Linked DNA regions of Saccharomyces cerevisiae S288C. The protein of the gene in region 1 interacts with the protein of each later gene in a biochemical or structural test. Each region holds a gene or a part of one and is shown in the gene's direction. Other genes may lie near its edges.

What was found.
Region 2: the proteins of BRF1 (region 1) and RPC17 form a complex in vitro, tested with the Saccharomyces cerevisiae proteins (one study listed by BioGRID).
Region 3: the proteins of BRF1 (region 1) and RET1 form a complex in vitro, tested with the Saccharomyces cerevisiae proteins (one study listed by BioGRID).
Region 4: the proteins of BRF1 (region 1) and BDP1 form a complex in vitro, tested with the Saccharomyces cerevisiae proteins (4 studies listed by BioGRID).

Annotation. Positions count from the first base shown.
Region 1 is NC_001139.9:981,974-985,857, reverse strand, and holds BRF1 (transcription factor TFIIIB subunit BRF1), read left to right. Parts: upstream 1-1,585; coding exon 1,586-3,376; downstream 3,377-3,884. Other genes in the region: CPD1 (2',3'-cyclic-nucleotide 3'-phosphodiesterase), read right to left, coding at 173-892; SDA1 (Sda1p), read left to right, coding at 3,790-3,884. UniProt on the Saccharomyces cerevisiae protein: General activator of RNA polymerase III transcription. Interacts with TBP. Binds to Pol III subunit C34 and to the TAU135 component of TFIIIC.
Region 2 is NC_001142.9:413,780-416,420, reverse strand, and holds RPC17 (DNA-directed RNA polymerase III subunit RPC17), read left to right. Parts: upstream 1-1,650; coding exon 1,651-2,136; downstream 2,137-2,641. UniProt on the Saccharomyces cerevisiae protein: DNA-dependent RNA polymerase catalyzes the transcription of DNA into RNA using the four ribonucleoside triphosphates as substrates. Specific peripheric component of RNA polymerase III which synthesizes small RNAs, such as 5S rRNA and tRNAs.
Region 3 is NC_001147.6:729,489-735,434, reverse strand, and holds RET1 (DNA-directed RNA polymerase III core subunit RET1), read left to right. Parts: upstream 1-1,977; coding exon 1,978-5,427; downstream 5,428-5,946. Other genes in the region: tyrosine protein phosphatase PTP2, read right to left, coding at 1-1,510; mRNA-binding ribosome synthesis protein NOC2, read right to left, coding at 5,791-5,946. UniProt on the Saccharomyces cerevisiae protein: DNA-dependent RNA polymerase catalyzes the transcription of DNA into RNA using the four ribonucleoside triphosphates as substrates. Second largest core component of RNA polymerase III which synthesizes small RNAs, such as 5S rRNA and tRNAs.
Region 4 is NC_001146.8:553,188-557,397, forward strand, and holds BDP1 (transcription factor TFIIIB subunit BDP1), read left to right. Parts: upstream 1-1,860; coding exon 1,861-3,645; downstream 3,646-4,210. Other genes in the region: YNL040W (putative alanine--tRNA ligase), read left to right, coding at 193-1,563; phosphatidylinositol N-acetylglucosaminyltransferase GPI15, read left to right, coding at 3,833-4,210. UniProt on the Saccharomyces cerevisiae protein: General activator of RNA polymerase III transcription.

The DNA of each region.
Region 1 (3,884 bases):
GCTGCTTAGGGGGGGATTTTTTTAATTTTCAAGGGATTTCCATCCCTTGCGAAGGCAAGCGATCAGTATACGTAAATCTCTAACTAGAACATTTTCAAGTATTGACAGATATGAAAAAAAAAAAAAAAAAAAAAATTCTATATAATTACTTACAGTGCACATAAATGTATGCTTAAACGTCCACCCGTCCCAATACCTCCCATTCTTGAACGGGCCCCACACAGTTGACCACTTTAAACGTTCCTGGGATATTCCAAGATAGCGATGAAGATACGTCAAAATCCCATCTCATTTGCACTTCATTGGACCCATCAGCGTTTCCGGAACCCTTACGTTTCTCTCTTGGAACTAGTTGCACGTCTAGAGCATCTTCAATTCTTTGTTGAACTACTCGCAATGACGCCTGACTTACCGGATGAATATCCGAATAAAGCAATGAGACGTGAGGATGGAATTCCTCGTGCACCCAAGTGGCGGCACGGCTACTTCGCGTCTCAGGATCGATCTCTACGTACATCTCTCTCATGACTTGTGCGACCCCATAAAGTATTTTGTTCTTGTTACACTCGAGCACAATTTTCTTGAAATATTGTTTACCTACACTGCATCCATTGAAAGATACCAAAGGAGCTGCAACAGCATGGGATACCTGTCCCTTACGTCCTTTCTTTGCTGTTTGGTGTGACCTTATCGATTGGATGGCAGCAACACAGGAGGTCAAGATTTTGTTGACATCATCTTTACTATTGCACACCAAATGGGACGTTACCGTCACATGAGGTTCAAAAACTGGTGAATCTGGGAACAACGTTTGAAACGAAAATATAAGCATCTGTAATGTCTCGTAAGCAACTGATCCTTGTGGTGGACAATACCATAATGCTATTGCCATTTTTCTGTGGTTACTGATATTAGCAAATTGAAGTATCGCGAATTCCCAAACTAGAATAATTACAATTGATGGTAAAATAAAATGATAAAATAATCTGATTAGATTCTTGGTATCTCAAAAGTGACTTTGATAACTTCTTGATTGTTTGTGCCCCTGCTTACGAATTGGGTTCTTATTAAACTTCACCTGCATCGCTTCTCCATCGGATCTAACCTAAAAAAAATAAAAACCCCCCGGTAAGCACTTGATCACGCCTACAAAATCACTTAGTGAACAAAGGAAAATAGATTGTTTTTAAAGTTGTGAAGTAGTGAACTATGGCTTCCCACATACACATATATACTGATACAGATGCAATATAACATTTAGTGTTAGAAAAATTTGCTTCTATCTTGATGACATTGAATACTCTTGGACGTAAAAAAAGACATCCGATTAAAGTGGAGGTAATCTACAAGAAAAGTTGTTCTTCCCCTCATTAGAAATCTTGCAATGGTCACGGCCGTCGCTATCAAAAATCAACGAAGTGAAGTGACTCTAATTTTTGTCTATTAATGTTGCGATGGCCTTATTTGCTATTCTAAGGTTTTCGCGAAGTATCAGGTATGATAAAAAAAATCATATTTTTGATCGCATCAAGAACAATCCCAATGGTAAAAACGGTAATAAAAAAGAGTCCATAGTCATATACCAATGCCAGTGTGTAAGAACTGTCACGGAACCGAATTTGAGAGAGATCTTTCCAATGCTAACAACGATTTAGTTTGTAAAGCTTGTGGTGTTGTCTCAGAAGATAATCCTATCGTCTCTGAAGTTACATTCGGTGAAACAAGTGCAGGTGCTGCTGTAGTACAAGGTTCTTTTATCGGTGCAGGACAAAGTCATGCTGCATTTGGTGGTTCTAGTGCTCTAGAATCTAGAGAAGCCACATTGAACAATGCAAGAAGGAAATTACGCGCCGTTTCTTACGCATTACATATCCCGGAATATATCACAGATGCTGCTTTCCAATGGTATAAGCTTGCATTGGCTAATAACTTTGTACAAGGTCGTAGGTCCCAAAATGTTATCGCTTCATGTCTTTACGTTGCATGTAGAAAGGAAAAGACGCATCATATGCTGATCGACTTCTCTTCAAGGTTACAGGTGAGTGTGTATTCCATAGGAGCCACATTTTTGAAAATGGTAAAGAAATTACATATCACAGAATTGCCGTTAGCGGATCCTTCCTTATTCATTCAACATTTTGCCGAAAAATTGGATCTTGCTGACAAGAAGATCAAAGTGGTAAAAGATGCCGTAAAATTGGCTCAAAGAATGTCCAAGGACTGGATGTTTGAAGGACGTAGACCTGCAGGTATTGCCGGCGCATGTATTCTACTAGCTTGCAGGATGAATAATTTGAGAAGAACTCATACAGAGATCGTCGCAGTTTCACATGTCGCCGAGGAAACTTTACAGCAACGGTTGAACGAATTCAAAAATACAAAGGCTGCTAAACTTTCAGTTCAAAAATTTAGAGAAAATGATGTGGAAGACGGTGAGGCTAGGCCTCCCTCCTTTGTGAAGAACAGAAAGAAAGAAAGAAAAATAAAGGACTCTTTAGACAAAGAAGAGATGTTTCAAACAAGTGAAGAAGCATTGAATAAAAATCCAATTTTGACGCAAGTATTAGGAGAACAAGAACTGTCTTCCAAGGAAGTCCTGTTTTACTTAAAACAATTTTCAGAAAGAAGGGCCCGTGTTGTGGAGAGGATTAAGGCTACTAATGGTATAGATGGTGAAAATATATACCATGAAGGTTCTGAAAACGAAACAAGGAAACGCAAACTTTCTGAAGTTTCTATCCAGAACGAGCATGTTGAAGGGGAAGACAAAGAGACGGAAGGGACTGAGGAAAAAGTCAAGAAGGTAAAGACAAAAACATCAGAAGAAAAGAAAGAGAACGAATCTGGGCATTTTCAAGATGCCATTGATGGTTACTCTCTAGAAACAGACCCATATTGTCCTCGCAATTTACACTTGTTACCCACAACGGACACATACCTTTCGAAAGTTAGTGACGACCCAGATAATTTAGAAGATGTTGATGATGAGGAGTTAAACGCGCACCTATTAAACGAGGAAGCTTCTAAATTGAAGGAAAGAATTTGGATTGGTCTGAACGCAGATTTCTTACTTGAACAAGAGAGTAAACGTTTGAAACAGGAGGCAGATATTGCCACAGGTAACACATCAGTGAAAAAAAAACGTACGAGACGTAGGAATAATACTAGAAGTGACGAACCTACAAAAACTGTGGATGCAGCAGCAGCTATCGGATTGATGTCAGACTTACAAGATAAGTCTGGTTTACACGCTGCATTGAAGGCAGCTGAGGAAAGTGGTGATTTCACAACTGCTGATAGTGTCAAGAACATGTTGCAGAAGGCAAGTTTCTCCAAGAAGATTAATTACGACGCCATTGACGGTTTGTTTAGGTAACGTTTAGGTAATCAACCCTAGGAAGGAAAAAGGGAACGGAAATAAAGACGCAATACATTTGGTTTTGGCTAAAATATATAGAACATGAAGTGCAAAAGAATTAAAGGTGCATTAACTATTTAATATGTATGTGATTATATAAATCTAAAATCTCAATGTCGTAACAATCACTGTTCCATTAAAAAAACGGGTAAGGTGGAAATTTCAGTTTTTTTTTTTTTTCTTTTCTTTTGCTTGATCGGCTAAAAAATGAAAATTTTAAACTCATCTCATCGCAGATAACCATAACACGCTTAACAGATAGAACGTTCTACCACTAAAAAAACATATCAAACGTCACTTTTTTGAATAAGTAATAATAGTTAAGGAGGAAGCACAAGACGCACTGAATATACCAATCAAGGGCATCAACAATGGGTAGAAGAAGTAGAGCAGCTATGCTCCCAACAAATATCATTCTTTTACAGAATTTGGTAAAGCGTGACCCAGAGTCCTATCAAGAGGAGTT
Region 2 (2,641 bases), on another chromosome or scaffold:
ACTATACAAAAGAGGTGTAAAACATGCGCCGATTAGTCATATCAAACATGACAAATATAACAATACTGAGACTATTTACTATAGTTTCTATGTAATGACCCATATCCTTACATATACAAACGTCAAGTTAATTGTTCAAGTAACAGATATTTAACTTTACATTATCACATAGTCTATATCGTTCTCCATCCTGACACATCAATGACGTTTGCGTCTAATTGCTTCACAATTACAAATTCATCAGTAATAAAGAATAGTATGTCACTATTCTAACAGATAATATGCCAGTAATATGACTACTGGTCAATATTAAGCATAACTGTAAGACTGGATTTTGTAATGTCACCTATTAGAAAATGTTAGCCTAAATTTTCAACAAAAGTTGAAGCGGTGGCTCAATGGTAGAGCTTTCGACTCCAATTAAATCTTGGAAATTCCACGGAATAAGATTGCAATCGAAGGGTTGCAGGTTCAATTCCTGTCCGTTTCAATTTATTTTTTTATTTTTTTTGCACCATATCGTTCATGGTGATTCTCTCTTTCCTAGCCGCCAATAACGTCGTAACAATACCGTCCTCTTCCCTTTCTCTTGTTGCAGATTAGGTCTGAAACGAGATAAAAGTCTTACAGAGAAGTCGGCAATGCATACTTACTAAGAGCATGCATTCTAAAGTATGCTTCGTGCGTTTTAGGATAGATAAAGTATCATTTAATTCCGCTATTTGTGAATCGTTAAATGTCACAGGCAAATCGACATGTTAATGATCTTACGACAGAGTAGTTTATGCCGAGGGTTACTTATATTTCAACTTGTACATCTCTTAGTCTTGAATATCCGGCACAATTTTCATTATTTTGCTAGTGCGTGGATCCTTTGGCGCTGACACTAACCGGTAAATTGTACTTTCGTTCATCTTTCCTTGTCATAAACTCTTCGTCAGTAATTTCTTTAGCAATAGAAGCTAAAACAAGCTTATTAGCAAACAGTTCGTGTACACAACTATGAGCAATCCATTACATTAAAAGGGTTTACTGTATAATGTTATATATGTAGCATGAATTATAAAATGGTCCTCCCAATCATTTTGATAGGTTATTCTGCGGAATGATCAAGCTTTTCTAGATTCCTTCAGATAATATCATATGTTAAGGAGAAGAACAATTTTGCTTAATCAAACTTCTGGTCACATGAGTTGAACAGAATGTAACCTTTTATTGATAGTCTGCAGTCTGGTTCTCCACGAACTACATATACTATTTCTATTTACAAAATAGTGTGATATTTCACCTTCTATGAGATGAAATACAAAAGAAAGCTTCGCTGCAAGGTTGAAAGATAATTAGCACTTATTCCTTGAATAAGTGGGCAAGAAAAAAATATTAGCCCTGTAGGGGGCTCGAACCCCTAACCTTATGATTAAGAGTCATACGCGCTACCGATTGCGCCAACAAGGCTAATTCGTTGAAAAATCCTTCAATTCCTGAAAATTATACCAAGTAAAAAAAGGAAAATTGCCTGAAAAATTATTTTTTTCAATGCCATCGATCTATGAAAGTTAAGCAAATAACAGCCACAGTAGAAGAGAAGTTGAGTGAATCCAACACCCACCACTGAAAAAATCGACACTTAAACAAAAAACTTTAAACGTTATGAAAGTTCTTGAGGAAAGGAATGCATTTTTAAGTGACTATGAAGTCTTGAAGTTCCTAACAGATCTAGAAAAAAAACATCTTTGGGACCAAAAAAGTTTGGCTGCGCTGAAGAAAAGTCGCTCGAAAGGTAAGCAGAATAGGCCCTACAATCATCCTGAATTGCAAGGTATTACTCGCAATGTGGTTAACTATCTCAGTATAAACAAAAACTTTATCAACCAGGAAGATGAAGGCGAGGAACGAGAAAGCAGTGGTGCAAAAGATGCTGAAAAATCGGGTATAAGCAAAATGAGCGATGAAAGCTTTGCTGAGTTGATGACTAAACTGAATTCTTTTAAATTATTCAAGGCTGAAAAACTGCAGATTGTCAATCAACTTCCTGCCAATATGGTCCACCTTTACTCCATAGTGGAGGAGTGTGATGCAAGATTTGACGAAAAAACAATTGAGGAAATGCTAGAGATCATCTCTGGCTACGCATGAGTGTACAGTGCTTTGAATTGATTTGGACTGGCACTTCCGAAAAACAGAAATTACTTTGTTGTGTAACAATATAACATGTTCAATGAGTATGCATGTATTATTGAACTTAAGCATATAGAAATATTTACAAGAATATACTTTATTTTTTAGAGTTTATTGCGCACACTTTGGGTTAGTCTCGATTTTTTTTATTTCCATTGGAGGAAGGTTATTATTTGGAAATTTAGTGCTGCGTTATAAACGTCTGTAAAGCCAGTACCACAAGCAACTTCGGTGAGATTTAACTTTTGTTTATTCTGTATTTTTGTCGAGGCTTAAAAGGGTATACTAGTTGAGGGCGTTACAGTAATCCCTTCATGGCAAGAATAAAGTAATAGTTATATAATAATTGTCATACGCATTGTTATACCAGTTGACGAGTAAAAAAAGACGCACCGTGACTTCAAGAGCTGTCGCAAACAAGTTCGACAATATTTAACTTATAAACATATTAAAGCTTTCAAAA
Region 3 (5,946 bases), on another chromosome or scaffold:
AAGTAATAACCTTCCAAAAATCATCCATCGTAGAAGGAAGCGGAGCTTGGGTAGCAATATACTTGAAATCAGGATTAATTTGCGTGAGCTTCAAATAGTTCGCATTGATATAGTCGTTCGGTTTGCAGGAGTGGTTTTTTGCATCTACGGGACACATCGGATATGACTTATCTGTTTTAGTTTCGGTTGTGGATGCTTCAGAAACTGCAGGTGGTTTCGGGGAGTGAGGTAACTTTACTCTTGAATGTTCGTAAGGTAAGATATTAGAATATCTATTCTTAGTAAAAGACTGAATTCCTTCAGTAAGTTCGTAATCATTTATTGGTGACATTATAGTATCATCGGAAGATAATGGTGATGGCGAAGAAGATGTGTTGTTTTTTGGTATAATTAATTTTAGCTTTTGATTTTTCTGTATGTTGCTTTTCAAAGAACTTTTATACTGTCGTTGCAAACTAGTTAAAGAATATAATTTTGAATCATCCGTGGATTGCGGACCCCTCTGCTTTTGTGATAGCTGCTTTTGATGTAAAGGCTTTTTCTTGAATTTCAGGCATTTCTCTAATCTTTGCATTTCAAAATTTTCTAAAGTTTCAAAATTGTTAAAGAGTTTCTTTAATATTACCTTTTCATTTTCTTTTACGGAGCAGAATTTTAGCCAATTCGGTAAAATCGTGTCGTTAGGTGCTAAGTCAGCAGGCATATTGAATTGGAAAAACTTTTGCAAAGAATTAGGAGAATAATGAATTAGATCCTTTTTCAGAGACTGTAAAAATATTTTATTTGAATCATTGGGTGGAGGTATGTTTATTCTTAAATTTAAAGTTGACCTTGAAGTTAAGTTTACATTCAAGTTCAAATCCAATTTGGGCAAGATGCAATTTTTCTTATTTTTTCCTAATGAGGGGGCCTTGCTATCATTCAGAGAGCCTTCGAGAAGAAAGAATTTCAAATAAGGAGATGGAAAAAAATGGCAGATGAACTTTTTAAACTTCTCAATGAGGCAAAAAGTTGTCTTTAAACAACTCGAAATTCTGCTAAACGAATCACTGAAAATGAAAATATCATAATCTTTGATGATCTTTGTGAACTCAATATACTTTTCATCAGATCCAAGGTAATTCTTTAGTAAGTTCTCGAACGGGTAGTTCGACCTTTTCACCAAAGTGCTGGGTAGCGGCAACGATAAAACTGTGATATCCTTAGCATTGGTATTGCCTAAAAATGAGTTGGTATTGGGGCCAGCGCACAGATCTAGTAAAAGTATTTTAGAATGCCTATTAGAGTTGTTCCGCCGTATGTTAACGTCGTCCAAATCTTTGCACGGTTTAATTTGATTTTGGGGAAGGTTAGACAGATTTATAGTTTCACCTCTATAGACGGGCATTTGACCAGGTGTTCTAGTTTGATTGACTTGTATGTGGCCCTTTTCCGATATAGCGGAAGAAGCCATTCTATTGCCGTTATTGTCTCTTTTGCCATTACGATATTGCTGTGCTATGCGATCCATCAATAGCAACGTCGATCCTATTTTATTGTAAACTATTAATAGCACTGGGGATCGGACCTAGGCTTCCAAACTAAGCGAAAAGGGCTGTGCAAAGCGGAAGAGGGGAACCAGGGGAATCGGGTCTGTCAGGTTGAGTGATCTCGTCTTTCTTGTCAAAGGTCGCAGCGCGGTGTTCAAAGAAAGATGATGATTCAAAGTTGGCACTTCCCAAAGGTTTTAATAGGTGCATTATTTTTATATATTCCTTATTGTTAGGTGTACTACACATAAAGATATAAATAGTTCCATAAAGCAGGCGCGTATTTTCCAGATCACGTCGGACGAAATTGTAATTGTGAGATGAGCTGAAAATTTTTCGATCTATGCTTAAGTGATGATATATGGACAAGTTAGGAAAGAATTAAAGGGAGTTTAAAGTGTTGATAATTGAGCGTTTTAATCGCTAGGGACTTAGTGCTTGTTGAAAAATGGTTGCTGCGACAAAAAGACGGAAAACTCATATACATAAGCATGTGAAAGACGAGGCTTTTGATGATTTATTGAAACCAGTATATAAAGGTAAGAAACTAACTGATGAAATCAATACTGCTCAGGATAAGTGGCACCTTTTACCAGCATTCTTGAAGGTTAAAGGTTTGGTGAAGCAACATCTTGACTCATTTAACTACTTCGTTGATACAGATTTAAAAAAAATTATAAAGGCAAATCAATTAATTTTGAGTGATGTTGATCCAGAATTCTACCTGAAGTACGTCGATATTAGAGTGGGTAAGAAGTCCTCTTCTTCGACAAAAGATTATTTGACTCCGCCTCATGAGTGTAGGCTTAGAGATATGACATACTCTGCACCAATCTACGTGGATATAGAATACACTAGAGGTAGAAACATTATTATGCATAAAGACGTGGAAATTGGTAGGATGCCGATCATGCTGAGATCTAATAAATGTATCCTATATGATGCTGATGAATCGAAAATGGCTAAATTAAACGAGTGTCCGTTGGATCCTGGTGGTTACTTTATTGTTAACGGTACCGAAAAAGTAATTCTTGTTCAAGAACAATTATCCAAGAATCGTATTATTGTGGAGGCAGATGAGAAGAAAGGCATTGTTCAGGCCTCCGTTACTTCATCTACCCATGAAAGAAAATCTAAGACTTATGTCATTACCAAAAATGGCAAGATCTATTTGAAGCACAATTCCATCGCTGAAGAAATTCCTATTGCTATTGTTCTCAAAGCCTGTGGTATTTTATCAGATTTAGAAATTATGCAATTGGTTTGCGGTAATGATAGTAGCTACCAAGATATTTTTGCAGTCAATTTGGAAGAATCTTCGAAATTAGATATTTACACACAACAGCAAGCTTTAGAGTATATTGGTGCAAAAGTAAAGACAATGAGAAGGCAAAAACTGACTATCCTGCAAGAGGGTATAGAGGCCATTGCTACCACGGTTATTGCACATTTGACTGTGGAAGCCCTTGACTTTAGAGAAAAGGCTTTATATATTGCCATGATGACGCGCAGGGTGGTGATGGCAATGTATAACCCTAAGATGATTGATGATAGAGATTATGTTGGTAATAAACGTCTTGAATTAGCAGGCCAATTGATTTCTTTATTGTTCGAAGATTTGTTCAAAAAGTTTAATAATGATTTTAAACTAAGCATTGATAAGGTCTTGAAAAAACCAAATAGGGCTATGGAATACGATGCATTATTGTCAATTAACGTCCATTCAAATAACATCACCAGCGGACTGAACAGAGCTATCTCAACCGGTAATTGGTCTCTTAAAAGATTTAAGATGGAAAGAGCGGGTGTTACACATGTTCTTTCCAGACTATCTTATATTTCCGCATTGGGTATGATGACAAGAATTTCTTCTCAGTTTGAAAAATCAAGAAAAGTTTCCGGTCCAAGAGCATTACAACCTTCTCAATTTGGTATGCTTTGTACTGCAGATACTCCAGAAGGTGAGGCGTGTGGTCTAGTGAAAAATTTAGCATTAATGACTCATATTACTACAGATGACGAAGAGGAACCTATAAAGAAATTATGTTATGTTCTTGGTGTAGAAGACATAACATTGATTGACAGTGCATCCTTGCATTTAAACTATGGTGTTTATTTGAATGGTACTTTAATTGGTTCAATCAGATTCCCAACAAAATTCGTTACTCAGTTCAGACATCTGAGAAGAACAGGTAAAGTGTCGGAGTTTATCTCAATTTATTCAAATTCTCACCAAATGGCAGTTCATATTGCAACAGATGGTGGTAGAATTTGTAGGCCATTAATCATTGTTTCTGATGGTCAATCTCGCGTGAAAGATATTCATTTACGCAAATTATTAGATGGTGAGTTAGATTTCGATGATTTTTTGAAACTCGGATTGGTGGAATATTTAGATGTCAATGAAGAAAACGATTCTTACATTGCATTGTATGAAAAAGATATAGTTCCCTCGATGACACATTTAGAAATCGAGCCATTCACAATTTTAGGTGCTGTTGCTGGTTTAATTCCATATCCACATCATAACCAATCCCCTCGTAACACATATCAATGTGCGATGGGTAAGCAAGCGATTGGTGCAATCGCCTACAATCAATTCAAGAGAATAGATACATTATTATACTTGATGACTTATCCACAACAGCCAATGGTGAAAACCAAAACAATTGAATTGATCGATTATGATAAATTACCTGCTGGTCAAAATGCTACGGTTGCTGTCATGTCCTATTCTGGTTATGATATTGAAGATGCTTTGGTTTTGAATAAGTCATCCATCGATAGAGGTTTCGGCCGTTGCGAAACACGTAGAAAGACAACCACTGTTTTGAAAAGATATGCGAACCATACCCAAGATATCATCGGTGGTATGAGAGTTGATGAAAATGGAGATCCTATCTGGCAACATCAATCTCTTGGTCCTGATGGTCTAGGTGAGGTGGGTATGAAGGTCCAAAGTGGACAAATTTATATAAATAAGTCAGTTCCAACTAACTCAGCAGACGCCCCAAACCCAAACAACGTAAACGTCCAAACTCAATATAGGGAAGCTCCGGTAATATATAGAGGTCCAGAACCTTCTCACATTGACCAAGTTATGATGTCTGTTTCGGATAACGATCAAGCTTTAATCAAAGTTTTGCTAAGACAAAACAGAAGGCCAGAATTAGGTGACAAATTTTCTTCTAGACATGGTCAAAAAGGTGTTTGTGGTATTATTGTAAAGCAAGAAGACATGCCCTTCAACGATCAAGGTATAGTTCCAGACATTATCATGAACCCTCACGGTTTTCCATCTCGTATGACTGTGGGTAAAATGATCGAACTGATATCGGGTAAAGCTGGTGTATTGAATGGTACATTGGAATATGGTACTTGTTTTGGTGGTTCTAAACTTGAAGATATGTCTAAGATTTTGGTAGACCAAGGTTTCAACTATTCCGGTAAGGATATGTTATATTCAGGTATAACAGGTGAGTGTTTACAGGCTTACATCTTTTTTGGCCCCATTTACTATCAAAAGTTAAAGCATATGGTCTTAGATAAGATGCATGCAAGAGCTCGTGGTCCAAGGGCTGTTTTGACACGTCAACCAACTGAGGGTAGATCTAGAGATGGTGGTCTGAGGTTGGGTGAGATGGAGAGGGATTGTGTAATCGCGTATGGTGCTTCACAATTGCTGTTAGAAAGGTTGATGATTAGTTCAGATGCTTTTGAAGTTGATGTCTGCGATAAATGTGGATTAATGGGCTATAGTGGTTGGTGTACTACCTGCAAAAGTGCTGAGAATATTATTAAGATGACTATTCCATATGCAGCAAAACTGTTATTCCAGGAATTATTATCCATGAACATAGCCCCAAGATTAAGATTGGAAGATATCTTCCAGCAGTAAGAAATCATATATCTTGTACTAAATTTTGCGTTATGTTAGCAATCATATCTATTTCGTGAGGAACTTTAAGAGAGTTGAACGATTTCGAAAATTATATAACAGTAAACCGTACTTCTTTCATTTTTGTACCTTGCTTTACATCATTACTTTTTATAAGATCCATCGAACGTTTGACGTGTTTTCTATCCATAAACCGGCCAAAATATAAAAATATCCAGCTGACAAGAGAAAGCTTGGAGTGCTCACATGTTAGCACATGTGAGCACAATGATATATACGCTTTAAAAAAGACTTTTCTTTATTTTACACATTTATAGACTTAACTATTGAATTCAAGACAAAAAATCAAATCTTGCTGAGTTGTTAAGCGTCTGACATTTCAACATCTTCGTTGTCATCATCACTTTCCAGACTGTTTAATAATTTTGCTTCTTCTGTTTCTCTTTCTTTGTCTTGTTCTTCCATACTTTCTCTCATTAATCTGGCCTTTTCTTCCTTAACTTCACGTTGTACTGCAAC
Region 4 (4,210 bases), on another chromosome or scaffold:
GTGACTTATTGCAAGCAATTTGTACGAAATATGCTTACACTTTTCATTAGTAAAAGAACCAACCACCCATCATTAACATCTTTTTATTTTTTATCCTTATCGTGTAAAAAAAACTTAAGAATAGACATCCTGGTGACGCATATCGACGAAAGCACACAACAGCGTCAAAAATTGATTAAAAGGTAAGTTATCATGCCCACACCTATGACGCCTGTCAAGGTCGGCGCTTTAGCCTGCCAGAGGAACTCATTTCTCTTCGATGGGTTCAAAACACTGGTTGTTTCTTGCGAACCAACGAAGAATAAAAAGGGAGAGATTGAAGGTTATGAGATTGAACTACAAGATACTATTCTGTTCCCCGAAGGTGGGGGCCAACCAAGTGATTCTGGTTTTTTGAAAATTGTTGAAGGGAATCGTAATTCGTCGAAAATTGAGAAGATATTAGTTTCACACGTTTCTCGTTTCGGTTTACATGCAAAGCATCATGTCAATGACTACATTGAGCCCGGAACAACAGTGGAAGTGGCCGTGGACGAGCAAAAGAGAATGGATTATATGCAACAACATACTGGTCAACACTTGTTAAGTGCCATTCTGGAACGCAACTACAAAGTAGACACTGTATCTTGGTCGATGGGTGGTATCATCACAAAGAAAAAACCTGTTCTAGAGCCTAGCGACTATTTCAATTATATAGAGTTGAACAGGAAATTGACTCTCGACGAAATAACGAACGTATCAGATGAGATTAATCAGTTGATCATCAACTTTCCTCAGGAAATTATTGTAGAGGAAAGAATCGGTGAAGAAACAGTAGATGAAGTTAGTACATCCAAAATTCCAGACGATTACGACCTCTCCAAAGGTGTTCTACGTACTATCCACATCGGTGACATTGATTCTAACCCATGTTGTGGTACACATTTGAAATGTACCTCTCAAATAGGTTCCATTTTAATTCTTTCCAATCAATCAGCCGTAAGAGGTTCAAACTCAAGGCTCTATTTCATGTGTGGGAAGCGGGTTTCTTTGTATGCAAAATCTGTTAATAAAATTTTACTGGATTCTAAAAACTTATTGAGTTGTTCAGAAACTCAAATTTCTGAGAAGATAACAAGGCAAACCAAACAAATTCAACAATTAAATAAAAGAGAACAGTATTGGATAAAGAGATTAGCACGTACCGCTTCTGAAGAATTAATGAACACACTGAAAGCCAGTGGAAAGAAAAGGGCTTATTTTATGGAAGAAGAATACGGAACATTGGAACTGTTGCTACAGATCCACAAGGAAGTATCTAATTTTTTGAAAGATGATACAGAAGGTTACGAAATTATCCTATGCGGTTATGAAAGACAAACGAACACTGGCTCACTGCTAATTCTTTCGGAATCGGGTGAAAAAATTGCCAATTTGGCTGCTAACTTAGGTTCGATACTACAAAACCTAAAAGGCGGTGGTGGTAAGAAAGGTGGCAAGTGGCAAGGTAAAATTACATCCATTTCGAATGCCGAGTTTGCCGCCCTCTCTGATTATTTAAGCCATGATTTCGCATCATGTTGAGAAATGTGCCATTTGTATACGCAGATTTGTTGTATACATAATGGTAGGTATTTATCGTGATCAAGTCTCAGGAAGTCAATAAGCATGGTCTATTCTTTTCTTTTATGTAGTTTATAATAGGCAACTTTAATGTTCCCAGAAGACGCGTTTTCCATTACTTATTATACCCAAAAAAAAAAATTAAAAAAAAACAACTTCGAACATGCAAACGCAAAGCGAAGGAAATTATAACTTTGACTTCTAACCTATTAAAGAAATACAAACAACCGGCAAGGAGCCACTGATTACCAGGTATTTATGAGTAGTATTGTTAATAAAAGTGGTACACGCTTTGCCCCTAAAGTAAGGCAGCGTAGAGCCGCCACTGGAGGAACACCAACTCCAAAGCCAAGAACCCCTCAACTTTTCATTCCCGAAAGTAAAGAAATAGAAGAAGATAATAGTGATAACGATAAAGGTGTTGATGAAAATGAAACGGCTATTGTTGAGAAACCTTCGCTAGTTGGAGAACGCTCTTTAGAAGGCTTTACCTTAACCGGCACTAATGGACATGATAATGAAATAGGTGATGAGGGCCCCATTGACGCCTCGACCCAGAACCCCAAAGCAGACGTTATAGAAGATAATGTGACTCTAAAACCGGCACCCTTGCAAACCCACCGAGACCAGAAGGTACCGAGATCCAGCAGATTAGCTTCACTGAGTAAGGACAACGAAAGTCGTCCAAGTTTTAAACCGTCATTTCTCGATTCTTCCAGTAACAGTAATGGGACTGCGCGACGTTTATCTACAATCTCCAATAAGCTTCCTAAAAAGATAAGGCTTGGAAGCATTACAGAAAACGATATGAATCTGAAAACTTTCAAAAGACATAGGGTTTTGGGCAAACCTTCTTCGGCTAAGAAACCAGCAGGTGCACACAGAATCAGTATTGTCTCCAAAATTTCTCCACCTACGGCAATGACCGATTCTTTGGACAGGAATGAATTTTCGTCAGAAACTTCTACATCAAGAGAAGCTGATGAGAATGAAAATTATGTGATTAGCAAAGTCAAAGATATCCCGAAAAAAGTGAGAGATGGGGAGTCTGCTAAATATTTTATCGATGAAGAGAATTTTACGATGGCAGAGTTGTGTAAGCCAAACTTTCCTATTGGTCAAATATCTGAAAACTTTGAAAAATCTAAAATGGCAAAAAAGGCAAAATTGGAAAAGAGAAGGCATCTTAGAGAACTCAGAATGCGCGCACGACAAGAATTTAAACCACTACACTCATTGACTAAAGAAGAACAGGAAGAAGAAGAGGAGAAGAGAAAGGAAGAAAGAGATAAACTACTCAACGCTGACATTCCTGAGTCAGACCGCAAAGCACATACGGCGATCCAACTGAAGCTTAACCCTGATGGTACTATGGCAATTGATGAAGAGACTATGGTTGTTGACAGACACAAAAATGCTAGTATCGAAAATGAATATAAAGAAAAAGTTGATGAAAACCCTTTTGCCAATCTTTATAATTACGGGTCGTATGGTAGGGGTTCATACACAGACCCGTGGACTGTGGAAGAAATGATAAAGTTCTACAAGGCGCTTTCTATGTGGGGGACAGATTTCAATTTGATCTCACAATTATACCCTTATAGATCAAGAAAACAAGTGAAGGCCAAATTCGTTAATGAGGAGAAGAAACGTCCAATATTGATTGAATTGGCCCTTCGATCTAAGCTACCGCCTAATTTTGATGAGTATTGCTGCGAAATCAAGAAGAACATTGGTACAGTAGCAGACTTCAACGAGAAACTAATCGAATTACAAAACGAGCACAAACATCATATGAAGGAAATCGAAGAAGCAAAGAATACGGCAAAGGAGGAAGACCAAACTGCACAAAGGCTAAATGATGCTAATTTGAATAAAAAGGGATCTGGTGGTATTATGACAAATGATTTGAAAGTTTATAGAAAAACGGAAGTTGTTCTGGGTACAATTGATGACTTGAAAAGGAAGAAACTCAAAGAAAGGAATAATGATGACAATGAGGATAATGAAGGAAGTGAAGAAGAGCCTGAGATTGATCAATAAGAGACATTTATATGCATACATAATGGATAAATAGCACAACTTTTTGTTGTATTATATCATTTTCTTCAGGTGTACCGCGGCATCAATAAATGAAGCGATGTTCGGAAGAAAAAATTGGCAACGAAAACAGTATTATGAAAGTTACATATGAGGATCGTTCTATAAGCAAAAGAAACAAAAGGATGATATGATTAGTAAAGAGTATGAATTTGGTAAGACTAGTATACTGAATAGAAAGAAGTATACATTAGTTATCGATGAAGACAAGAATGGCAATTTTATAAGATTTACCGTTTTACCTGTATCTAACCGAAAGTTCAAAAAAGTCAAGCAAAATGGGAGGGTAGAGATTAACATGGGCATACAATATCACCAAATTGTACTTATTTTACTACTGAATATTTTGTTCTATGTAATTTGCCTAAGATCAAGATTTCTCGAACATATTAATAGAACTTTTGAAGTGACAATCGCGCGAAGTTTCCAGATCTTAATTATAATGGGATTGTTTGCCTTAGGTACAATTATACTTGTGAGGGGACCTAGTGTGGAAACTGTAACAATT